Linked DNA regions of Caenorhabditis elegans. The protein of the gene in region 1 interacts with the protein of each later gene in a pairwise test. Each region holds a gene or a part of one and is shown in the gene's direction. Other genes may lie near its edges.

Evidence for each region.
Region 2: the proteins of nhr-22 (region 1) and lst-1 interact in a two-hybrid assay, tested with the Caenorhabditis elegans proteins (one study listed by BioGRID).
Region 3: the proteins of nhr-22 (region 1) and gpa-7 interact in binary tests that used the Caenorhabditis elegans proteins (3 or more experiments, as listed by UniProt).

What each region holds. Positions count from the first base shown.
Region 1 is NC_003280.10:6,448,037-6,451,792, reverse strand, and holds the start of nhr-22 (Nuclear hormone receptor family member nhr-22), read left to right. Parts: upstream 1-2,000; 5' UTR 2,001-2,004; coding exon 2,005-2,349; intron 2,350-3,227; coding exon 3,228-3,390; intron 3,391-3,478; coding exon 3,479-3,610; intron 3,611-3,756. Other genes in the region: atg-16.2 (Autophagic-related protein 16.2), read left to right, coding at 1-68, 540-630. UniProt on the Caenorhabditis elegans protein: Orphan nuclear receptor.
Region 2 is NC_003279.8:10,586,805-10,590,560, forward strand, and holds lst-1 (Lateral signaling target 1 protein), read left to right. Parts: upstream 1-1,696; 5' UTR 1,697-1,707; coding exon 1,708-1,737; intron 1,738-1,868; exon of another isoform or gene 1,869-1,874; coding exon 1,875-1,943; intron 1,944-2,129; coding exon 2,130-2,675; intron 2,676-2,757; coding exon 2,758-3,011; intron 3,012-3,188; coding exon 3,189-3,276; 3' UTR 3,277-3,660; downstream 3,661-3,756. UniProt on the Caenorhabditis elegans protein: Plays a role in germline stem cell maintenance, perhaps acting in concert with mRNA-binding factor fbf-2.
Region 3 is NC_003282.8:10,401,997-10,405,752, forward strand, and holds the start of gpa-7 (Guanine nucleotide-binding protein alpha-7 subunit), read left to right. Parts: upstream 1-2,011; 5' UTR 2,012-2,022; coding exon 2,023-2,140; intron 2,141-3,756. UniProt on the Caenorhabditis elegans protein: Guanine nucleotide-binding proteins (G proteins) are involved as modulators or transducers in various transmembrane signaling systems.

The sequences.
Region 1 (3,756 bases):
TCGTCTGTTTTCATTTGGAATACAAAAACCACAAAGTTGGAAAAAGTTGTGAAAACTGCGAGATCAGAGTGAGTGAAATTAAGAAACGATATTACAAAAAAGTGTTTCAAAAATGTTTCAAAATTTTTTGTTAGAATTAATCAAAAATGTGATATTATAGAATATAGAATTTTTGTTACCATCATTAGCCAGACGCAAAAGTTAGCGATTTTAGTTCCAAAGGTACAGCACCTGCCCTCGACACGATATATTTCAGTTAATTGCGAAAAGGCGTGCGCCTTTAAAGAGTACTGCGGAATTTTAATTTCTAAATCTTTCGATAAAACTACACTTAAATAAAAACTTTGAAAAAATGTAAAAAAATATGGCAGCAACAAGCGTTTAAAGTTACAGTACTCTTAAAAGATGAATATGTATTTAATAAAAAATTATCGTTTCGAGATACCGTAATTTTGAATGAAAATCGAAAACTTGGGAAATTAAATCCGCTTCCAGAGTACAATGCCCCAATTCTGCTCTCAAAAATGTTTTTTTTTCAGTTCGGCTCAAATAATGTCTCTGGCATGGAATCCGTCAGGCCGAGGTCTTCTAGCTTGTGATCGTCAGAAGACTTGTACACTCTGGAGATGATCTTCAATGTATGAAATTGAATATAATTGTACAGAATCATCATCTGTGTTATAAATGTGCATATCCATTTTTAAAAAAATAGTTTTACCCGCGTTTTTCATGTTTTCTTTCAGATTTTTCATTATGAACATTCGTTTGAAATAGAAAAAAATTGTATGATATTTATACATTTTAATTTAAACCGGTAATCCTCAAAAAATGCCTGAATATTACAAATTCTGTGTTATCACCACCTATCCCTTGTATTCTATGAACATAAAATGCACATTTTCTTATCATTTCACCTGGTTGGCTGACTGACAGTCGTTTGGAAACATTCGAGTTTTCTTAAATTTTCTATAGTTTCTGATGCTAACCTATGAAAATCAGTTCAAAATGATGACAAGAATACAGGAAATTAATAATTTCTGTTCCCGCAGCATGATGATATTTTTTGCCGATGAATAGTCCTAATTCTTCGTCATTGAAAAAAATTTGCTCCTTTCGATCTGAATTTGAAAAAAGTTTATTAAAAAAAGTATATTTCAAATATTAATGATTTCTGATTATTCTGCATTGCCAGGAAAATATTTTCATATAAACTTGTGAAAAGATGTCAATTTCTGAAAACAATTCGGCCAGTTTTCTGAAGCAGTATTTTACATATCTTCCAGGGTTCAAAAGATTAGTACTCTCAATGAGTCGCAGACAGCTTAGTTGTTTTTTCTTTCGTATTAATATACTTACATTTTCTTTTATCTCTAATTCTCTTACATCCACCTTTTCCGCAATCTCTGCCACTGTCGGCGATCTCTTGTTCTCGCACGTTTCTCTCTAATTCTATAACGAACGTAAATCTTTATTCTCTCTATTATTTTTATATATATTTGTGTGAAATATTCAAAACTTGAGTATTTAAATTTTTTGAAAAACCATAAGTTCAATGTGATAATTTGAAATTTTCCCATCACGTTTTCGATTAGACAGAATGAAGTTTCCGTTCCAGTGACTATAAATAGGCGAAATTTAATTGAAAATAGTTTTGCATTATTTTCAAACCACAGACTTTTTATTCATACATATATTTGAAAATATTAATTCAGTGAATTGCAAATTTAAAACTCACATTTCTTTAAAATTAATGAATCAATTTTCTATCTCTTGCCGTAACAAATAAATAAATCCATATATTAATATCTTCTCCCCTTTGTCCAGCCAATTTCTCATCTCCTCCAATTAGCCTCTTCCCACCTTTCTCTCTTCTTCATTTTCCCCCAATTCTGTTCTTATCAGTACTAACCTTGTTCGGTCCTTTCTCTCTCTAACCTCTCTCTTCTCTTTTTCTTACTCTCTACCATTGCCGCACACCTCCATTCATTTTCACTTTAATCAAATATGTCTACGGACCTTCTCTATGAATATTTCTATCCACCTACCGATTTATTCAAAAATACTTTTGAAGACGTACCACCATCTCCTGAGTCTCTGGACGTTGGTGATTCGTTAGGATCATCTCCATCTTACGATCTTGGATTCCAACCATCATTCGATATTGACTTCTGCATTTGGAAAGAGGGATCTTCATCACCTCCACCGGAATCGAATCATCTCCCAGAGATTGTAAATAAAGCTTCAACATCTCCACGTGGAATGCCATCTCCATTAACTGACAGTCGAAGTTGTCATGTCTGTTCATCTCCCACTGCCAATACTCTACATTTTGGAGGTCGTTCTTGTAAGGTAAGCAATATGATCAAGAAAAAAATATTTCTCGTATCAATTATTAATTAGCACTACTCCGAAAAAATGAACATTTTTTGTTTTTACAAGTGTTGTACTTTCGTTGTTGTTGTACAATATACATTTTTTGTTTTCTGGATAACAATTGAATTTGCATCGGACATTATTACCCAGGCCCACGGTATCCTGCCTCAGCGCAACATATTTTTGTTAAATTCGAAACGTTGTGCGTCTTTGAAGAGTACTGTAATTTCAAACTTTTATCATATTTTTTATCATTCAAACTCGTAAAATCAACATTTCTAGACTTGAATTTTTGTTCTAAAAACACCGATAAACCGTTGGTTTCATTAGTGATAATTGTGAAAAAAGGTCCTAAAGTATTTTAAGGCGTAATAATATAACTATGCTTTGAAAATGTGCCAAAATTTGTAACATGCTCGCCACGTGTTTTTATTGTTATCCTGTGTTATCTAGAAGTGTATTGTAGTCAGGTATTTTCTTTTTCCGTCTGCGTATTTCGACGAAACATCACTTATTTTTGTGGCCATTTGTGGTATGTGTCTCACACTATTTGTTTTTGTAGTCTTAAGTGTAGCTAGAATGACAATAGAAGATCTTCATCTGATCGGATGTTTGAACACACCACAGTACAGTTCCTGTTTAGAAACTAGCTCCTTTTGACCAAGTTTTGTATGATAATCTTACTGAAAACCACGAACAAATAGAAAAAGTTGTTGATAACGTACATCACACTTTGCATGCTTTATGTTTAAATAAAGAGAAAATGAAAAGTACAATTTGCATCACTAATACCTCCGGAAACATGTTTCTCACAATTTAATTGGAATAAATTTAATAAATGAGCATATTTTCAGGCATGTGCAGCATTTTTCCGAAGAAGTGTTTCAATGTCAATGACTTACGAATGCATTGGCACTGGAGATGACACAAATCCGTGTAGAACCCATTACGAGCTCAGAATGATATGCCGTCACTGTCGGTTCATCAAATGTTTAGATGCCGGAATGCGCAGAGAACGTGAGTGATCATTGACAAGGTCATTTGTCACATGTTCAATTGGCCAAAAAGTCCGAGGTACAAAAAACAGTAATTTGTTGTTTTGCAGTGGTGCAAGCGAGAAAAGAAGAGACGAGAGTTGCAAAACGACGTTCCAAGGGATTGGTTGTATCGAAAAAGGAAGATGACGATGTTGAATCTTCGTATGATGAGTATGTAAATACATATACAAATGTTCAAGGTTAGTTTCTAATTTATTTCGAAAATATTTTTGAAGCCCTCGACTGGGAAATTTTTTAAACCCTCTCCTATGGTAATAAAATTCCTAAGTATAACAGTTTAACGTTTCAAAAAATTTTTTAAATTTTTTAGTTACCGTCAAAAGTG
Region 2 (3,756 bases), on another chromosome or scaffold:
CATCTGTTCAAATACGTGACAAAAAACTGATAAGAAGGAGAGCTTGCACTTGAAGTTTACACTTTTAATAATCTTTCAATTGTTACTACTGACGGCATTCCATTTAGTTAATCGGTTTATTGAATTTTGAGTGTGATTTGATAAAAAGAAAGTTAGTGAGAATTGAATCGCGTTCCTAGTGATAAAGTTTTTGGAAACTTTATAGTTTTCGTTGTTTTGTAGTTTTTTCTTTACAATCGAAATTTTATTGTATGGCACCAAAGTAAGCTAAAGGCACACAGGTCCATTCGGATGGGTCTCGCCACGAAAAAATGTTTTGATAGCCCATTTTTGTGGTGATCGCTGCAGAATTTTCAAAGATTTTTTCGTAGGTTTTCGGTAAAATTTTTTATAAAACTTAAATATTTATAAAAATTAGAAAAAACACATAAATTGTGCCAAATGTAAGAAAAACTATTTTGAAAAATCGATGAAAATTCGACGGAAACGAACATTTTGAATCTACAGTAGTCTCAAGGAGTACTGTAGATTTAAGGCGCAAACCTGCTTGTATTTAACATAAATTCAAGACCTGGTACTTTATTTTCGTCGTAAAAATTGCAAAATTTCGTACCTAGGTAATATTTTTATTTTTTATTTTTTTAAAACAAAATTTTCATGCAGTTCCGTTTTCAAAACGATAATAAAATCTTCGAAGTGTCTGAAATGTCGCTTTTTTGTTATCTTAAACCTTTTTTCCGTTTAAATTTAATGTTTCCTTGATAAGTTCCAATTTCCCAAACATCTGAGAATGCTTAGATATCTTCCCAAAATGTTTTCAAATTGACAAATGGCTGTATTGTTCAATGATTCATCTTGTCATTCTTTTCTCCTAAAGAAGAGGTCTCCATTCATCTTCTACCTGCCGTTATTGACCACCTACTGTCGTAGTTTTTATCGTTTCATTTAGTCACTCTAATTACTCTCATCTCTTTTCATTTTTCCCCCATTTCGATTGAAATTAGATTAGTTCCGATTGAAAGTGTTCGGATTTTAGGTTGATGAGGCTTCGATGACAATTTTACATTCCAATTTTAAAACTTCTATATTTTACGAACGAAATATTTCCAATTCCGGGACGCGTTGAGAGGTATGCGCCTTTAAGAAATACAGTAACCCGCTTGCAAGGAATTTTACACGTTATTTTTTTCTCGCTAAGATTTTTTTTTTGCCTTATTTTTCAGGTTTTCATGTAATTCTGCTTATTTTTGAAATAGAAAAACTAGAAAAAGCTTAAGAAAATTGCGAAAGGGGAGTGGGTTACTGTACATCTTAAAGGCGCACACCTTTTTGAGCGGCTTCGATTAATGGGAAACTATTTTCTTTCCCATCTGGGAACGTTTTTCTCAAATTTAATTGCTTGCCCAAGCGATTTTGAGGTTTTTTTTCAATTTTCAGACTAATCCAATGTTTTTTCTTTAAAAATAAACTTTTTGTCGATTAAAAACATGTTTTTAAATGTTTTTAAAGCCCGCGAAATTCAAAAAAGCTCTTGCATTCTTGCTCCATTGCATTTTCCCACGCCTCCCCCAGGCGTGGGAAAATACGTGGGAAAATGACAACTTTCCCACGCTTGTTATTTTCGATGAATTGTCCAATTATTCGTCGGTGCCATGTTCTTTCTCATTTCAAAAGAATTATTTGACTATTCAATCTTCGCGCGAGACAATGTGTTCGACTTTTATTCTTCCTCCAAGAGTGAGTTCACTTTTTTTTTGAAATTAAATATGTATTTTCTCTTTCCGATTGAATTGTTTCAACGATGATCCCGATTCTCCAACTTTCTCCATTTCTTTTATTACCTTCAGTTTTATAATAATATTATCATTTTTCAGAGAAACAACTGCAACAAAAGCAGTAGTACCATCGCCTACTCGAAGTCGCAACACGAGGCGCCGAAGCAAGTGAGTTGGAAGTTTTATTTTTCGTTTATATAAACGTGTCGAAACTGACCTATTTTTTGTCACGCCGTTCACGTGGCTTTCGTCACTAAATAGAATTTTGCGCTCCAAAAACAGAATTTTGCTCTTTTTTAATTAAAATAAATAATTTTTCATTAAATAGACGTAATTAATAAAAATTAATTTCAGCTGCTTCAACTCCGATCTGAAATCAAGCCGCTGATTCCGCTCAATCAACCTTCCAATTTTTGGGAATCCAGTCAAGATAGCGGAGTTCTCTCCAGCTTGTCATCTTCTCCCCAACAACGTTCGGGCCTGAGAAGTCAAAAATTGCATTTGACGTATATAGAGAAGAACAAGAGAGTTCGTGCAATGATTCCACAACAACAGCATTATCATGCATTTGATCGCCCGACACACTACAATTCTCGAAAAACGTCTGGCCCACCACCACTGATGAGAACACCATCTTCCGGATTTTCGTCGGCTTCTTCGTCGGAGAACATGTTTTCTGGATTGACATTGTCAGACAATGAGAACAAAATCCACGAAATCATGGATCCATCAGTTGACGTGGATCTTGACATGTTTCTTTTGCCTGATTGTCGATACAAGCAACCAGTGCAACCATCAACCAGCACATCCCGTAACAATGTGAGCCAGATCAGCGGGTCGAGTCGTCTAAATGGATCCACGAGACATGTCGCACCAATTGTTCCAAAAGTTGCAATGCCGGTGAGTTTAAAATAAATTTTAAGTGATTTTAAAGAAATCAAATTATAATTTTCAAAATTCAATAAAAATTTACTTTTTTCAGTCGGAGTTATCATATGCCAACGTGAAGCGTTCAAGTGGATATGTGGATTATATGCCAACAACTTACAATTCCAACGTGACGTCCAATTCGTCTGCAGCATCGGTTCCAATGTCTCCGGGCACATGGGTTCGGTGTCACTATTGCTGGGAGTCGTATGTGAAACTGTGCCAACGAGTTGCAAATCTCGAACCACTCATCTCATGTGATGGCCCATGGAATTGGCATACACTTTATGATATGCAAGGACGAGTCACGTATGTTTTTATTTATTCTTTGAAATCTAAAAATTGATATTTTTATCGAAACACGACCTAAAATTTTCTTTTAAAAAATTGTGTTGGAATTCGTAATTTTTTCGATTTTTAAATATCTAAACTTCGAAAATCTAATAATTTTTTTAAAAAAATCTTCTCAAATTATTATTATTTCAGATGTCCCCGACTGTGGTTTGCTCAACTCGATCGTGCCGGTTCAGAAATGGTCGAACAAATGGGACACGCTCGAAATGTTCCAGTCTAAGCAATAAAATTGGTTTAAATATCAATTAATTTATATTTTACCACCCCCTTCAAATGTTCTTCTTGTTTTACACTATCATCCAAAAAAATGCGGTTCTCTTCTTGATTCTTTTGTTGACGAATACGGGCATTCCGTGTGAGCGTTTTTCTTTTTTATATTAATTCTTTCTGATCCTTATTAGCTCCTGCCACACACACCATTTTATGTTTAACTTACATATTACCACCATCCCTGTTTTTTGATCCCCTTCCCTTTTTTAATAAAACATAATCAACTGTGCGAATTATGTGAATTTCAAATCCCATCCAATCTTTCGCTGTATATCCATGTGCTCTTTTGTCTCTGGTGGGATCTTGCCCGATAAAATAAAGATGTCAAATATTTACTTTTCGCTATTCTTATTCATTTATTGGCAGGAATTTCAGAAATTAAATCTCAAATTGGGATGAGGCACACAGTTGAAGATTTTCGGAATTTTCC
Region 3 (3,756 bases), on another chromosome or scaffold:
AGATATCGATGACTTTCTAACTCATGCGCATTTCTAGGTTGTAATTTGAGAGAAAAGTGTCGAAGATGCGAAGGAAGTTAACTTAGGAACAACCAGACGCTCAATTTTTGTCATTTTTCCTGTTTTCATTCTGCGTTCCAGATTTTACGGATTTCGGAAAATCCGGTATTCATTTATTTCAATCAGAAACAACAATCAGGAATCACACTTACGCTGCAGCTTCAGACATACTCCTTCATGTTGTTTTAACTTTTCTTTTTTCCTTCTTTTTCTTCTTTTTTGTTTCCTTTTTCACTTTCCATCCTTTCAAGCTTTTCACACATTCCCAGCTCAAAAACAAAAAGGGAAATCCCCAAAATTTTCTCTTCCGCCAAAACACAATAATCTATGTGCTCCCCAGAGTTTTCTTTTATTTTTTCACTTTAATTCAAATTCTAGTCATGTTTGGGGCCAACCAACTCAATCTCAGAATGCCCTCAATCAATGTTTGTGTGCTTGAAAAGAATGTGAGGGAGGATCTGATTAATCCCGAGGGGCGTGTTGCCTCCACCCTCACTTTTTTGTTGTTTTTTTTTGCTCTTTTCTGTTTGATACCAATTGAATGACTTCTGACGAATCTGCAAAACATATTCAACTTCTGTTTCTGGAATTTTTAAAAGCTTGTCAATTTAGAGTGAACACTAGTAAAATTTTTGATTAAAAAAATTCCCATCGCATATTCCTTTTAAATAGAAACTTATAACTTTAAATCGTTCCAGATATATATTATCTGTATATTTATAAAGGAGAAAAACGAAGCAGTTGATCGAATTTTAGAATATTCTATTTTTTAGCTGGATCATTTATTTGACAATTGCTATTAAAAATTATAATTAATTGAGTTTTCTATGAGACTTCAAATATAATGAAGCTTTAGCTGAAAATCTGGAATTTGTTGTCTCCGAAACCAAATATCCCAAATTAAGCCCCGCCCAATTGTCGCCCTTCTCGAACTTTTTGCAACAAATTTTCTAGAACTGAACCAACTTTTTTCGCTGTTTCTTGGTAGTGTGTCCTTCTAGAATGTAGAGAAACGAGATAGTCTAGTTTCACTGTTTTCCATTTAATTTTGCATCTGTTTCTTCCTTTTTACCTCTCGCTCCTTGTATTCCCTTTTCATCTCATCTCTGAATCGAAAACGACGACGACGATGAGCATGTTGCACATTCAGAAGAGCCAGAAGATGAAGAGACACGCAGACAAGGAAGGGAAAATGGAGAGCCGCGACAGCATCGGGGCGAGTCCTAATCCGATGGGCTCTCGCCAAAAGGTGAGGGGGCGGAATGAGAGATAGAAAGGGTGGAAAGGAAAAGGAGACCAATAAGAGAAACGCCGCGGAGAGAAGAAGAAGAAGGCATGGACACAGAAAGTGAGATATCCGCGACATTACTCTCACACTATATCGTCCATCCTCTCGTCTATGCTCTCCCTTCTGGCTCCGTGGCTTCCCGTGGATCTCGGTACACATGCGTCTCTGTCTCCATTCTCTTGTCATGTTTGTCTCTGTCTCCATTCTCTTGTCATGTTTGTCTCTTCCTCGCCTTTTCGCGCATTTTCAGCAGAGCAGCAGCATCAAGGAGCGTCTCCGGGGCTCTACAATTTCTGCGTGTGGTCACTTGCGCGTCTTTGCTCACTTTGTTGGCTGATCTGAAAAAAAGAAGAGAAAACGAAAAGAAACCAAAAGCTGATTTCTGATCATGCTTGGCAAACTTGTAGCGACTTTTTGAAAGGTTTTCTTTGTACTTCTACGCACCTAATATTTGTATTTTTATGTGTCCTGTACTCACACCACTTATGACAGTCTGTCTCTTGACATGGATACTCTTTTACTTTGGACTTTGTGTCGGTGGAAACAAAACTGTTTGATAATCTTCAAATTCTTCAGTATTCTTTAATTTAATTTGATAAAATTGACTTTGACCCTTTCCATTTTCCTTGCTTATTCTAATCTTCTTAAATTCTATTTTTAAAATTTCAGCACAAATGGGTCACTGCACGAGTAAAGATCAGAAAGAAGGCAAACGTCTGAATCGTCGGATCGATGAGCAAATCAAGAAGGATCAATCGATGAGTCTTCGGATCATCAAGTTATTACTATTAGGTACGTACATCTTTCGGTTTTTTTCCCTGAAGAAATTTGAGCTCGTTTCATTCGAAATGCTATGGGAAAAAAGAGAAAACACGATCCACACGGTGTCCAGTTGGAGCACACCGAAGGGGTCAGGTGAAATATATTTATTTATAGAAAGTCTGCGTTTCTGGTTTTAAATTTAGAAGATAATTAAGTTTCCCATAAAATAGTCTAGTTGAGAGCTAATTCTGTTGTTCTATGATCTTTTACTAAAATAGAATATTTTCGCATCACATAATTCATTCATTCCCCCGAAGAGTAATCCTTTCCATTGAAGGACATTCTATTTGATATTTATTCTTGCAATATTTAAATGTGAAATAATTCACGAACTCAAACTTCAAACATCATAATGTATACATTTGATTTGAAATTTTTCTGAAGTGAAATGGCAAGTCTTGTAAAAACTTCACTACCTTGATAAAACCCCAGAGCAAGCAGATCACTTTTTTCTAGTTTCATGTCAACTAAAATTTTTTGCAAAGATTTTCTTCCTCATGTCTGTTCTGACATCAAAATTACGTATTGCAAGTAATAAAGTATGTCTGAAGCATAGAAAATGGACAAGAACTTTGCTCCGATTCCAAGTTGTTAAGATTGAATTTGAAAAATAATGAGACTTTGTAGACAGTGCAAAATCAAGCGAATAAAGTTTCAAGGAATTCCAAACAAATAATTTATCTACAGTAGGTCCCAAAACACATTATGATAACGCCAAACCTCATTTATAAATTGATCGAAACAATGTGTTCTCTCTGAAGTTTTCTTTTTTTTTGGCTTCTGATCGAATTTCAGATTTTTCTTTTGAGAAAGACAAGGACGCATATTTAATTTAAAACTAAAAAAATATATATATTTAGTATTTTCTCAGTATAATTTTCTGGGGTAGTTTCCTGAAATTTCCCCAGTTTTCTACATTCTCTATAAAATATATTATTAATACTTTTACTTTAAAACTTTCCAATTCGATGTGACCACTGAGCTAAAAAAAACAAAAAGTGTCCTCCTGACCCAATTATTTCGCTTTTTGACGTCACGGAGCAAATTTTTATTGACTCTGCACCAGCAACGACCCATCCAATTAGTATGTGTAGAAGTGAAGGAAAAAAAAAAGAGAAAGTTGTAAAATGATACATGGACATGGAGAGAAACATGGGAATCCTGGAAGAAATGTTTAAGAATTTTTTTTGTGTTTTGGTATTTGTTGGAATGAGATGAATCATCATCACATGCTGGATTATTGAAATAATCTTTTTCACTCAATCTTAAAAAAAAGAAAAGGACATTATTAAAGAATTGTTGGGGAAAACCCAGAAAACTCGATAATTCCAAAGATAGGGGTCTATTATTGACATTTTTTTTTGGTAATTTGAAGATTAATTTTGAAGTTCTAGAAACAATATCAAAAATGTTCATGCAAGATATGGGAAATCGAATGAAACTTCACTTTTTTTTTAAAGAAAATAGTCCGACACAAAATGATATAAATATTGTGAATATTCTTTGCAAACTCGTTTTTTTGTGGTTTCTGAATAAATGACGATAATTCAACAAGTGGTGGGTAACTTTTAAATCCTTATAGTTCA